Saccharomyces cerevisiae S288C: one gene and its partners. The gene in region 1 interacts genetically with each later gene. Each region holds a gene or a part of one and is shown in the gene's direction. Other genes may lie near its edges. The genes, in order: TLG2, PHO86 and RET2.

Evidence for each region.
Region 2: mutations in TLG2 (region 1) and PHO86 together harm fitness more than expected from each alone (negative genetic interaction), as found in Saccharomyces cerevisiae (5 studies listed by BioGRID).
Region 3: mutations in TLG2 (region 1) and RET2 together harm fitness more than expected from each alone (negative genetic interaction), as found in Saccharomyces cerevisiae (5 studies listed by BioGRID).

The regions. Positions count from the first base shown.
Region 1 is NC_001147.6:290,245-293,723, reverse strand, and holds TLG2 (t-SNARE syntaxin TLG2), read left to right. Parts: upstream 1-1,649; coding exon 1,650-2,843; downstream 2,844-3,479. Other genes in the region: ESC8 (Esc8p), read right to left, coding at 1-1,195; TOS7 (Tos7p), read right to left, coding at 3,171-3,479. UniProt on the Saccharomyces cerevisiae protein: t-SNARE that functions in transport from the endosome to the late Golgi and on the endocytic pathway.
Region 2 is NC_001142.9:190,428-194,021, forward strand, and holds PHO86 (Pho86p), read left to right. Parts: upstream 1-2,103; coding exon 2,104-3,039; downstream 3,040-3,594. Other genes in the region: ribulose-phosphate 3-epimerase RPE1, read right to left, coding at 1-663; YJL118W (uncharacterized protein), read left to right, coding at 1,212-1,871; SUN family protein NCA3, read right to left, coding at 3,433-3,594.
Region 3 is NC_001138.5:250,046-253,803, reverse strand, and holds RET2 (coatomer subunit delta), read left to right. Parts: upstream 1-2,000; coding exon 2,001-3,641; downstream 3,642-3,758. Other genes in the region: HXK1 (hexokinase 1), read left to right, coding at 1-212; proteasome regulatory particle lid subunit RPN12, read right to left, coding at 475-1,299. UniProt on the Saccharomyces cerevisiae protein: The coatomer is a cytosolic protein complex that binds to dilysine motifs and reversibly associates with Golgi non-clathrin-coated vesicles, which further mediate biosynthetic protein transport from the ER, via the Golgi up to the trans Golgi network.

The DNA.
Region 1 (3,479 bases):
ATGATTTCCGAACACCCTTTAGAAATTTCATCTGACTATTGATCTTACTCAGTTTTCCTTTGTCGCTGGGCTTCCTTTTCTTTCGATTTTCCAACTTTTGACTCATCAAAGAGCATAAAACTTCACAACTATCTAATATGTTATTGGCCCCGCACATAGCAAACCTGCTGGCGTGAAAAGTTTGATGGTTGAACCCTGTATCGCCTTTCAAGTGAGTGAGCCTTTGAATTTCATTATGGAAAAGTGCGGAGTAGCTACAATTCCAATCGATCATGCATCTCAATAATATTATTCTATCTAATGGTTCCATCGTCAACAAACCACCTCCATTAAAATTTAGAGTAGATAAAATATCACTATTACCACGCCATTCTTTTGGTAAGCCCCACTCCTGGATTAAGCTTCTGAGTTTGCCAACCAGTTTTCCATATGGATTTTTCAAACTAAGAAATCTTTTTAGCGTGAAATTTCTATGAGTTTGGTTGTCTGCTCTTTTCTCGGAGCAGAATAATAACCTCAAAAGACTGCAAAATAGTAGATTCATTTTATCCTGACAAATTCGAATATTCTTCGCAGAATGGCCAGCCACCTTTAATTCTAGTCCTATCTCCACATCTTGAAATGACAGGTTCAGTAGATCGTCGCTGAACACCCATTTAAATTTGACGATAAAAGAAAGGATCTTCATAACATCGCCTGCATATGGGAGAGGGGTGCAAAGGGGAGGCGCCCAATTGCTTTCCGTTACCGTCTCATCACTCATAAACTTTGCAAAGTCAGAATATCGTAAAGGAATATTTGGTGACCAGTTTAATGTATTCAATGGTCTATTATTAGAAGTAGTGTGTTCACTGATCGACTCTACCTTGTTAGTGTCGTTCGAATGTGTTTTGATATTAGAATATTTGCTTGCCATATTTGCCTCCATTTCTTTAGTTTTCATTTCTTCATCACAGGTACCTTCATATTTCTCCCGCTTTTTAGTATTTTGGGTAGCAGCATCCAGTGATTCGTCAATTGAACTATTGTGAGAAAGTACAACAGGTTCTTCTACAATTTTGATGTTTCTGAAATCATCAAAGGTCAACTGACCCCTTCTTTTTACCCTAGGCTTTGAAGACTGGTTTTTCTGTTGTTTGACCATAGGTTTCTTGATAAAGTCATCGACCAAGTCTAAATCAATAATTTCTGTCATTATTGTACCTCAAATTTCTTGTTCCTTATTTTCTTGTTTGATGTCTAAAAAAAAGAGATATCCTGGTAATGAGCAGGCCGTTTCTTCAGCTCATACAATCGAAAGCTTAAGAGTTAGTCGTTGATATGGTATTCTCTAATACCGAAAATAACTTAGTACATATAAACGCGTAAAGTTCACGCGTTTATATCACCCTACCATATGACATTCTAACCCTACTAATTTTTTATCAAAGCTAATAGGGTTGTATTTTATTATCTTTTACACCTACCTTTTTTTTTTGTATATGCCCTATAGATGAATTATAATTGTTGGACCGGTTTGTATTGGGCTTTTAAGGTGTAAAGTGAGTGCGTATAGATTATAGCAGAATAGACTATAAGTACGGCAAGACAGGAAAGTCTCCAATTGATGTACATTTTATCGCTTTGTGATCTAGGCAGTCGTTACAAACATGTTTAGAGATAGAACTAATTTATTTTTATCATACCGTAGGACTTTCCCTCATAACATAACTTTCTCATCTGGGAAAGCACCCTTGGGCGATGATCAAGATATTGAAATGGGTACATACCCGATGATGAATATGTCTCACGATATATCGGCCAGATTGACAGATGAACGAAAAAACAAGCATGAGAATCACAGTGATGCGTTACCACCCATATTTATTGATATAGCGCAGGATGTTGATGATTATCTTCTGGAGGTGAGACGGTTAAGTGAGCAGTTGGCGAAGGTTTATAGGAAGAATTCGTTACCTGGCTTTGAAGACAAGAGTCATGATGAGGCGCTGATTGAAGATCTAAGTTTCAAAGTAATTCAGATGCTGCAGAAATGTTACGCTGTTATGAAACGATTAAAGACCATATACAACTCTCAATTTGTGGATGGTAAGCAATTAAGTCGAGAAGAGCTGATTATACTAGATAATCTACAGAAGATCTATGCAGAAAAGATACAAACTGAAAGTAATAAGTTCAGAGTATTACAAAATAATTACTTGAAATTCTTGAACAAGGATGATTTGAAACCTATCCGCAATAAGGCCAGTGCAGAGAACACGCTATTATTAGATGATGAGGAAGAGGAGGCAGCAAGAGAGAAGAGAGAGGGCCTCGATATTGAAGACTATTCAAAAAGGACGTTGCAGAGACAGCAACAGCTTCATGACACTTCTGCAGAAGCATATTTGAGAGAACGTGACGAAGAAATTACTCAGTTGGCAAGGGGTGTATTAGAAGTGAGCACTATTTTCAGGGAAATGCAAGATTTGGTTGTTGACCAGGGGACTATTGTGGACAGGATTGATTATAATCTGGAAAATACAGTGGTAGAGCTAAAAAGTGCAGATAAAGAGTTGAATAAAGCAACACACTACCAGAAGAGAACTCAAAAATGTAAAGTCATTTTATTACTAACATTGTGCGTAATAGCGCTCTTTTTCTTTGTTATGTTGAAACCACATGGCGGTGGCAGTGGTGGTCGTAATAATGGTAGCAACAAGTACAACAATGATGATAATAAAACAGTTAATAACAGTCATGATGACGGCAGTAATACCCATATTAATGACGAAGAGAGCAACTTGCCGAGTATCGTTGAAGTAACAGAATCTGAGAATGATGCTTTGGATGACCTACTTTGATGACAAAACTTTCACGGTACCGCATCGCGATTTTGAACTATAATATGCTTTGAAGAAAATTGAGAGATTTAGTCAGCGTTCATATGACCTGTTGCTCGTTCTATTTGAGAAAAGTGAAAAGGTTAATATATGATTTCAATAAAGTATGTAGTATGATAATAAAATACAAATTTATATGGGATAAAATTGAACCGCAAGTAAAGACTGGCGAACGAATATTGTGCATAAGTAGTTCCTGAAGATGATAAAATATGGTTTAATACAAGTTGGTGGTTATTGTGATTTGTAGAATATAAAAAAAAAAAAAGAACCTTCATTTTTCTTTTTTTACCTAAATCCGTAAGGATTGTTCAGTGAAGTAGTAGCTCGGGGCAAGTTTTTGTTTTGCATTCTCCTCTTATAGGCAGGCTTATATCCTTGTGTTATCGGGCTTTGGTTTGGTAAAGGATTCGGAGCAAAACCGACGCCTGGTACCGGATTTCTGTGCTGTGGCACTTGGTTTGGGGCAACGTTGAAATAAGGATTGCTTTGTAAAATAACATTAGAAGGATCTGGACCAGCAGGAGTAGTTCTTTGATATAAATTGTATTGATGATATTGCTGCTGTGGTTGCTGTTGTTGTGGTTGTAGTCGTTG
Region 2 (3,594 bases), on another chromosome or scaffold:
GGAGATAACATCGTGCGGGTCAGCTGCAGTGAAAACACTGGTACCAGCGACAATAACGTTGGCACCGGCTTTGGCGGCTTTCGGGATGGTCTCCTTGCCCAAACCACCATCGACTTGGATATTCAAATGGGGGAACTTGGCTCTCAAAGTTTCCACTTTTGGCATCATGTCTTCCATGAATTTTTGGCCTCCAAACCCAGGTTCCACAGTCATAACAAGAGCCATATCCAAATGAGGAGCTAGTTCAAATAAAACGTCAACAGAAGTACCAGGTTTGATGGCGCATGCAGCTTTGATGCCCTTAGACTTAATCAACTTAACTAAATGCAAAGGGTCTTGTGTGGCCTCGTAGTGGAACGTAAATTGGTCAGCACCACATTTAGCAAAATCGTCGACCCATTTTTCAGGATTTTCAACCATCATGTGACAATCGAAGAACGCAGTGGGCTTCTTTTCTGTGTTGCTAGCATCGCCAGGGCGTGGCACAGAACGACGTAGGGAGGTAACAATTGGTTGGCCCAGAGTAATGTTTGGAACAAAATGGCCGTCCATGACATCGATATGTAACCAATCTGCGCCGGCGTTGATGACCTTATGACATTCGCAACCCAAGTTGGCGAAGTCAGAAGCAAGGATACTGGGAGCTATAATTGGTTTGACCATTTTTTCTTGTGTGTTTACCTCGCTCTTGGAATTAGCAAATGGCCTTCTTGCATGAAATTGTATCGAGTTTGCTTTATTTTTCTTTTTACGGGCGGATTCTTTCTATTCTGGCTTTCCTATAACAGAGATCATGAAAGAAGTTCCAGCTTACGGATCAAGAAAGTACCTATACATATACAAAAATCTGATTACTTTCCCAGCTCGACTTGGATAGCTGTTCTTGTTTTCTCTTGGCGACACATTTTTTGTTTCTGAAGCCACGTCCTGCTTTATAAGAGGACATTTAAAGTTGCAGGACTTGAATGCAATTACCGGAAGAAGCAACCAACCGGCATGGTTCAGCATACAATACACATTTGATTAGAAAAGCAGAGAATAAATAGACATGATACCTCTCTTTTTATCCTCTGCAGCGTATTATTGTTTATTCCACGCAGGCATCGGTCGTTGGCTGTTGTTATGTCTCAGATAAGCGCGTTTGTTATGCGAAAAAAAAAAACTTTACAGAGGCTTTGTTTATATATAGAAAGACCACGAAAAAAACAGTGATGGCTTCATGCTTTTCAGTTTCATTATTGGCACGAGTAGCAGTCGTTGAGCCCATCAGAGTGCAACTTTGGTTAAATGTCGTAAATTGTATGATTGAATCATCCATGCACCAATGTCCTCCACGGGATCGCCACTTTTTTTCTTCATCACGCCCCATTTTGTTGATCCGACGTTCTGTATCAACTGTATACAGATTCGTTGCTTCTCGCACCACACAGGTTTTACGTGCGGCCAAGACCGTTGTCAAGTGGTTCATTATTGTCGACCCACTGATAAATTCTATTCTAATCAATTATCTCATTGATAGGCTCTGCACTCTTGGGCATGCTGTATTGCGAGTGAAAAAGCGCAAGACCGAGGAGAGACAACCCTGTTCTCCCATTATACAACACACACACGTTAAGAGACGCAAACGGCCTCGTCTGAGGATCGTAGCCATCAAGAGGAAGCGGAGGCGTCGAAGACCACATCGCATCGAGCGTCCACTCTCAAATATGTACCCAATAATGGAAATCCAGATGGTGGCTGTTCCACTTGCTCTTCCCAGTCCAACTGCACTGGTGCATTATCAGCAGCAGCAACAGCAGCTCCCGCAACATCATCCCTGGTACGACCTCTCGCTTTCTGAAGAAGCCCTCTCGACCTGCTGTTGTAGTTGACCTATAACTGAAAATTCACACCCGCATTACCCAGCGCGCCCGCACGTGCTCTTTATGGAAACTATAATGAATAACGACCAAAGAACATCTTTTTTTCTCTCTCACACAAATAAAGCTTTTCATGTTTATAGATATATAGCACATACTTTTACTAAGTTTTCTAGATTGATTACGACTCTTCCAGTTGCACATTTTTTCATAGCGAAAGTACAAGAGTAGGAAGAGTGGCACAATGGCGGTTCAACAAAGAAAGAAGAAAGAGGGTAGAAAGTCCGATAAAAATGCCCCATCGGTCCCACAAGTAGATGCATCATTAGACAAACCACTTGATATTGATGCTCCTCCTACTATTTACAGTGTTAATTTGAAACCAGAATATGGTACAGCTGCATTGAATTTGTCCGCGGATTTCATCAGACAAGAACAGGCATTGGCTAATAAGTATTTGTTCTTCCATCCCGTCATCCTTGTTGTTCTAACCATTGGGCTGCTTATTTACTTGACGCCAAGAATTGTCTTTCCGATAAGGAATACAGGATCCGTTGCTGGATGGTTCTACCAGCTGGCTCGTATTAATAAGAAGGTCGTCCTCAGCGGTTTAGTGTTCACCGCAATTGGTGCATCTTTCTTGTTCACCCTCCTCTCACGTGTATCTGACTCGTATTTCAAGTCGAAGATCAACCAACTTGTTGGTTCTAAAGGTGAGAAAGTTTTCGGCATCAATTTGAATGATTTGGTGGCAAGACATGAAACAAAGGATCCAGTGGTGAACAATACGCATATCATCGTTTATAGAGAAACGCCCATTGCATTGATTTCGTTAGCCCCTAACATGACATTAAGTACTGATGAAAATTTAGTCATGAGTGTTACTACTGTGGGTTGTCGTCGTGTATATGTAAAAAGTGGCATTATCGAAGATTTGATTGATTGGGCTATGCTACACTCCAAAAATATTAGAAGCAGCGGCAAATACGGGGAGACCATGAAACTCTTGATTGATGTCTACTCATTCGATAGCACGCTTAAGGAAATTTTGAAGAAAAAAGGGTTCACTTATATTCAAAGCATTAGAGTCTCTGAAAATCGACTACTAGGCGGTTTGTTCGGTGTGAAGAAGGAATTATGGGGTTTGCAATTCCATTTTAAAGCCGAACACAAGGACTAGGATACTGTTATTTTTATAGCCAAAAAATGAAAAAAAACAGCATGGCATCTTGTTAGTTCTGTTGCAACTCGCAGGAAGTAACAAAATAAACACTATAATATTTCCATATATTTATATATATGTATACAAACACCTTGTTAACAAAAAAAAAATAAACGAACTAAAGAAAACCGTAATGCAGAGTACACCTTGAAGAGAGAGAAAAGAAAATCTTTGAATCCATAGCATAATAGCGATCAACGAAACTTTTTAAGAAGTAAAATGAACTGAAAGGAGAAAAATATAACGGAATCCCAATGTATAATAATAAATAGAGAGCGGAAGAAAAAGAATAATAAGGGGAATTGAGGGTATCAAAATACAAGACATTCTTTTACCGAAAAGAAGAATGACTTAATAGAAAACAAATTCAGCAGATCCAGATAAAACAGAAACTGTGCAACCATCGGAACCATCTCCGGTGAAAGAGCCATCTTCATACGCACAGCTGCCCTGAACGTTAGCGCCATCGGATGCAACTATTTTAACGTTAAAGTTGGCAGCTTGGTTACTGTT
Region 3 (3,758 bases), on another chromosome or scaffold:
CTGACGGTTCTGTCTATAACAAATACCCAGGTTTCAAGGAAGCCGCCGCTAAGGGTTTGAGAGATATCTATGGATGGACTGGTGACGCAAGCAAAGATCCAATTACGATTGTTCCAGCTGAGGATGGTTCAGGTGCAGGTGCTGCTGTTATTGCTGCATTGTCCGAAAAAAGAATTGCCGAAGGTAAGTCTCTTGGTATCATTGGCGCTTAATGAAAAAAATGTAATGAAATATAAATGTGTTTTTCCCTCCCTTAATATTATTATTCTTATGAGTGATGCCCTTATGTTTTTTTTGCGGTCTAGTATATGTAAATATAGACACACACATATATATATATTTATGTGTATAATCCTAGCTAATAAACATTTTTAGATTGTTATTAGTATAATTTTTTCCACTTACTTTGTTCTCCGGGAGAGAAAAAGTTGTTTATTTTGTAGTAATTTTGTGCACATATTATATATACAAATATTACACAATATTTTCAATACTTATGGCATAATCCATTGCTTTTTCGATAATGTTTGTCTTTTGGTCTTCTTCATGCATCATTTCATCTTCGTAATCAGCTTTCTCCTTTGATTGGTTATTGAAGTAAACTTTCGAGTTGACAATAGGCCAGTTTCTCTCTAGTGCAAATTTTTCAGTTTCTTTTTCGTTGTTGAAAAAGAGCAAAGCCTTTATGTTGGAGAGAGGGAGAAAGTCGTAGGATAGCTCGGTATTTTTAGCAATTTCGTCTCTTATAGCTGATTTTAGGATATCGGTAAAAGAGTCGAATTCTGATATATTCTGCGACCCAGATTGCAGAAGATCCCATGCTTTCTGGTACGACCCTTCCATGAGCCATCTGTCTAGTTTGATAGGGTAAGACAAAAGTGAATCGTCTTCCAAGTTCTTGATATGTTTATCTAGATACTGCAATTCCGAGTGAAACTTGGTTGTGTTATTCTGAGACAATAAGTTCAACAAATACAGACTTATCAGCTTCGATTTCTTGTCAGATTCAGATAATTTATGATTGTTGCTAAAGTAGTAAGGCTTCAATTGGTTGAAGTAATTCTCGAAGCTGTCAAAATTGAAAGTTTGGATGCTAGCAAGGGCACCTACTTCCAGGATCCTTTTAGTAATCATCAAATCATTCAAATAGATGTCATTTTGAATGGATAAGTCAGGTATTAAAAGGTTATTCTTGATAAGTTCGATCTTGATAGGGGGCAAGAGCTTCTCACACGCGGCATAATCGCCGTTTTCAAAGGCTATGCTTAACGACTTGGTCAATTCGGCTAACGAGGGCATTACGATGGCTTCTTATCTCACTTCAATAGTACTTTCCACCGGTTATACTTCCGGCTTTTCCCTATTAATACAAGCTACAATTTCAATGGGTGGCAAATAATGTGTAGAATAGAAAATAAGCCGACAGGGTAATAAAGAAAATTTTTAGAAAAAAAAGGTTAGATGGCTTATTTAAGTTACAGGCTAGCGAAAAAAGGAACTTCAGGGCAAGTAAAGTGTTTGATTGGGCACTAGCATGGCTTATAAAGGCGAGCAATTGTCGAAACTAATTAATGTTGTACGGACTATTGCTGTCTTCTCGTGGTAAATGCGTGTTCCAGGTCGAATACTACTTGCACACAGGCGAGCGGGGCCCCATAAAAGTGTTGCCGATTTGTTAAGTTGTCTTTTCGGTTTTTCTACTCTGTTATTCCTTACTTCCCTTTTTAAGAACTCTTTTTATCCTTCATTTAGGATCTTGCACGTTTCCGCCTCATCACTTGAATTAAAACATGTCTCTGTCAGTAAACCTTGGCGTTTCTATTGTTCTTCATAGTTCAACTTTTATTATTACCCGCCCTGCGCGTTTACATTTTTCCAGCAACAGCCAGCGAAAAATTAGAAAATCTGGTTGTTGACACCTCAAGAACAAGGGCAATTAGCCTCAGCGTCGAATATAGATCATATTAGAATACCTATAGCTCCATCAAAAGAAATACACAATGGTGGTTTTGGCTGCTTCTATCACTACGCGTCAGGGGAAACCTCTCTTGTCCAGGCAATTCAAAGATCTGTCCAAGGATCGAGTCCTAGAGTTGCTGTCCAATTTCCAGAACCTAGTCTCCGAGATCTCGTCAGACCACACATTTGTCGAGGACAAGCACGTCCGCTACGTGTATAGGCCCTTTGATAACTACTACATTATTCTTATCACAAACCGCCAGTCCAATATTATCAAGGATTTGGCCACATTAAATCTGTTTTCACAGACGATCAACTCCTACTTGTCTAGTTTCCAAGACCAAGAGATTTTTCACAATGCCTTTGAGATCTTGTCCTCGTTCGACGAAATCGTGTCAATGGGCGGGTACAAAGAGAACTTGTCCTTTACTCAAGTGCAAACATACTTGTCTATGGAGTCGCACGAAGAAAGAATCCAGGAAATTATTGAGCGTAATAAAGAGATCGAAGCTACTGAGGAGAGGAAGCGCCGTGCTAAGGAAATTGCTAGAAAAGAACATGAAAGGAAACACGGGTTTATGTCTTCAAATGGCGATTACGACGGCGCCAATAGGTTCATGGGAAGTAAAGATCCTAACGTTACAAACGCCATCAACAGTTACTACTCCCATGCTTCTCCTGCAGCACAACAGTCTTATCTACAAAGTTCCCATGCCGCTGCTGCTGAGGTGGCCCCAGTGGCCTCCCCAATGGCTACGTCTCAGCGTGCGGGACATTCTGCTACTGGCGGTATGAAATTGGGTGGTGGTGCCGGAAGAAGAGCGGGTGCCGCACCACGGCCAAGTGCAATTTCTTCAGCCTCTTCTGGCACTCCACCTCCTCCGGAGGAGGATGTCCCAGAGAACAATGGTATTTTGATCTCTATCAAGGAGGTAATCAATGCAGAATTCTCCAGAGATGGTACCATTCACTCTTCTGAATTGAAAGGTGTTTTAGAACTAAGAATTAATGACCATGACTTATCTCACTCGAACCTAAAACTAGCTGATTCTATTGACGTTCGCGATAAATCCTTCCAGTTTAAGACCCATCCAAACATAGATAAACAATCGTTCCTATCCACTAAACTTATCTCCCTGCGTGATAAATCTAAGGCTTTCCCAGCCAACGACCAAAGCCTGGGTGTTCTAAGATGGCGTAAAGTCGCTCCCGCAGAAGATGACTCATTAATTCCATTAACTCTAACTACATGGGTTTCCCCCTCCGAATCACAACAGGGCTTTGATGTCATTATTGAGTATGAGAGCGTCCTGGAAACAGAACTCGCTGATGTGATCTTCACCATTCCAGTTTTCCCTCAGGAGCCAGTAGACATAAATACAGAGTCTTCTACATGCTCTGACGCTGAAGTTGTCAACATGGACCAAGAAATGGGAACCTCCATTAAGATTAGCAAAATTGCTGCCAACGATGCAGGTGCGCTAGCATTCACTATCGAAGCTCCATATGAAGATGCATTGTACCCAATGACCGTTTCCTTCCAAGAGTCCACGAGGGATAAATTAGCTAAGAGTTTCACCGGTATGGCCATACAATCTGTTGTCATGGCCAATGACCACGATCAAGAGCTCCCTTACGACGTCATCACCTCTTTGAAATCAGATGAATATCTTGTCCAATAGTACGTTACATTCACATATAAAATACTTAAGTTATATACACAAACTAAATAAATAAAAATCGAGGTATCTTTTCTTTCGTCCTTCTATATATATAGTTTAACTTACTCTTATTCTTTA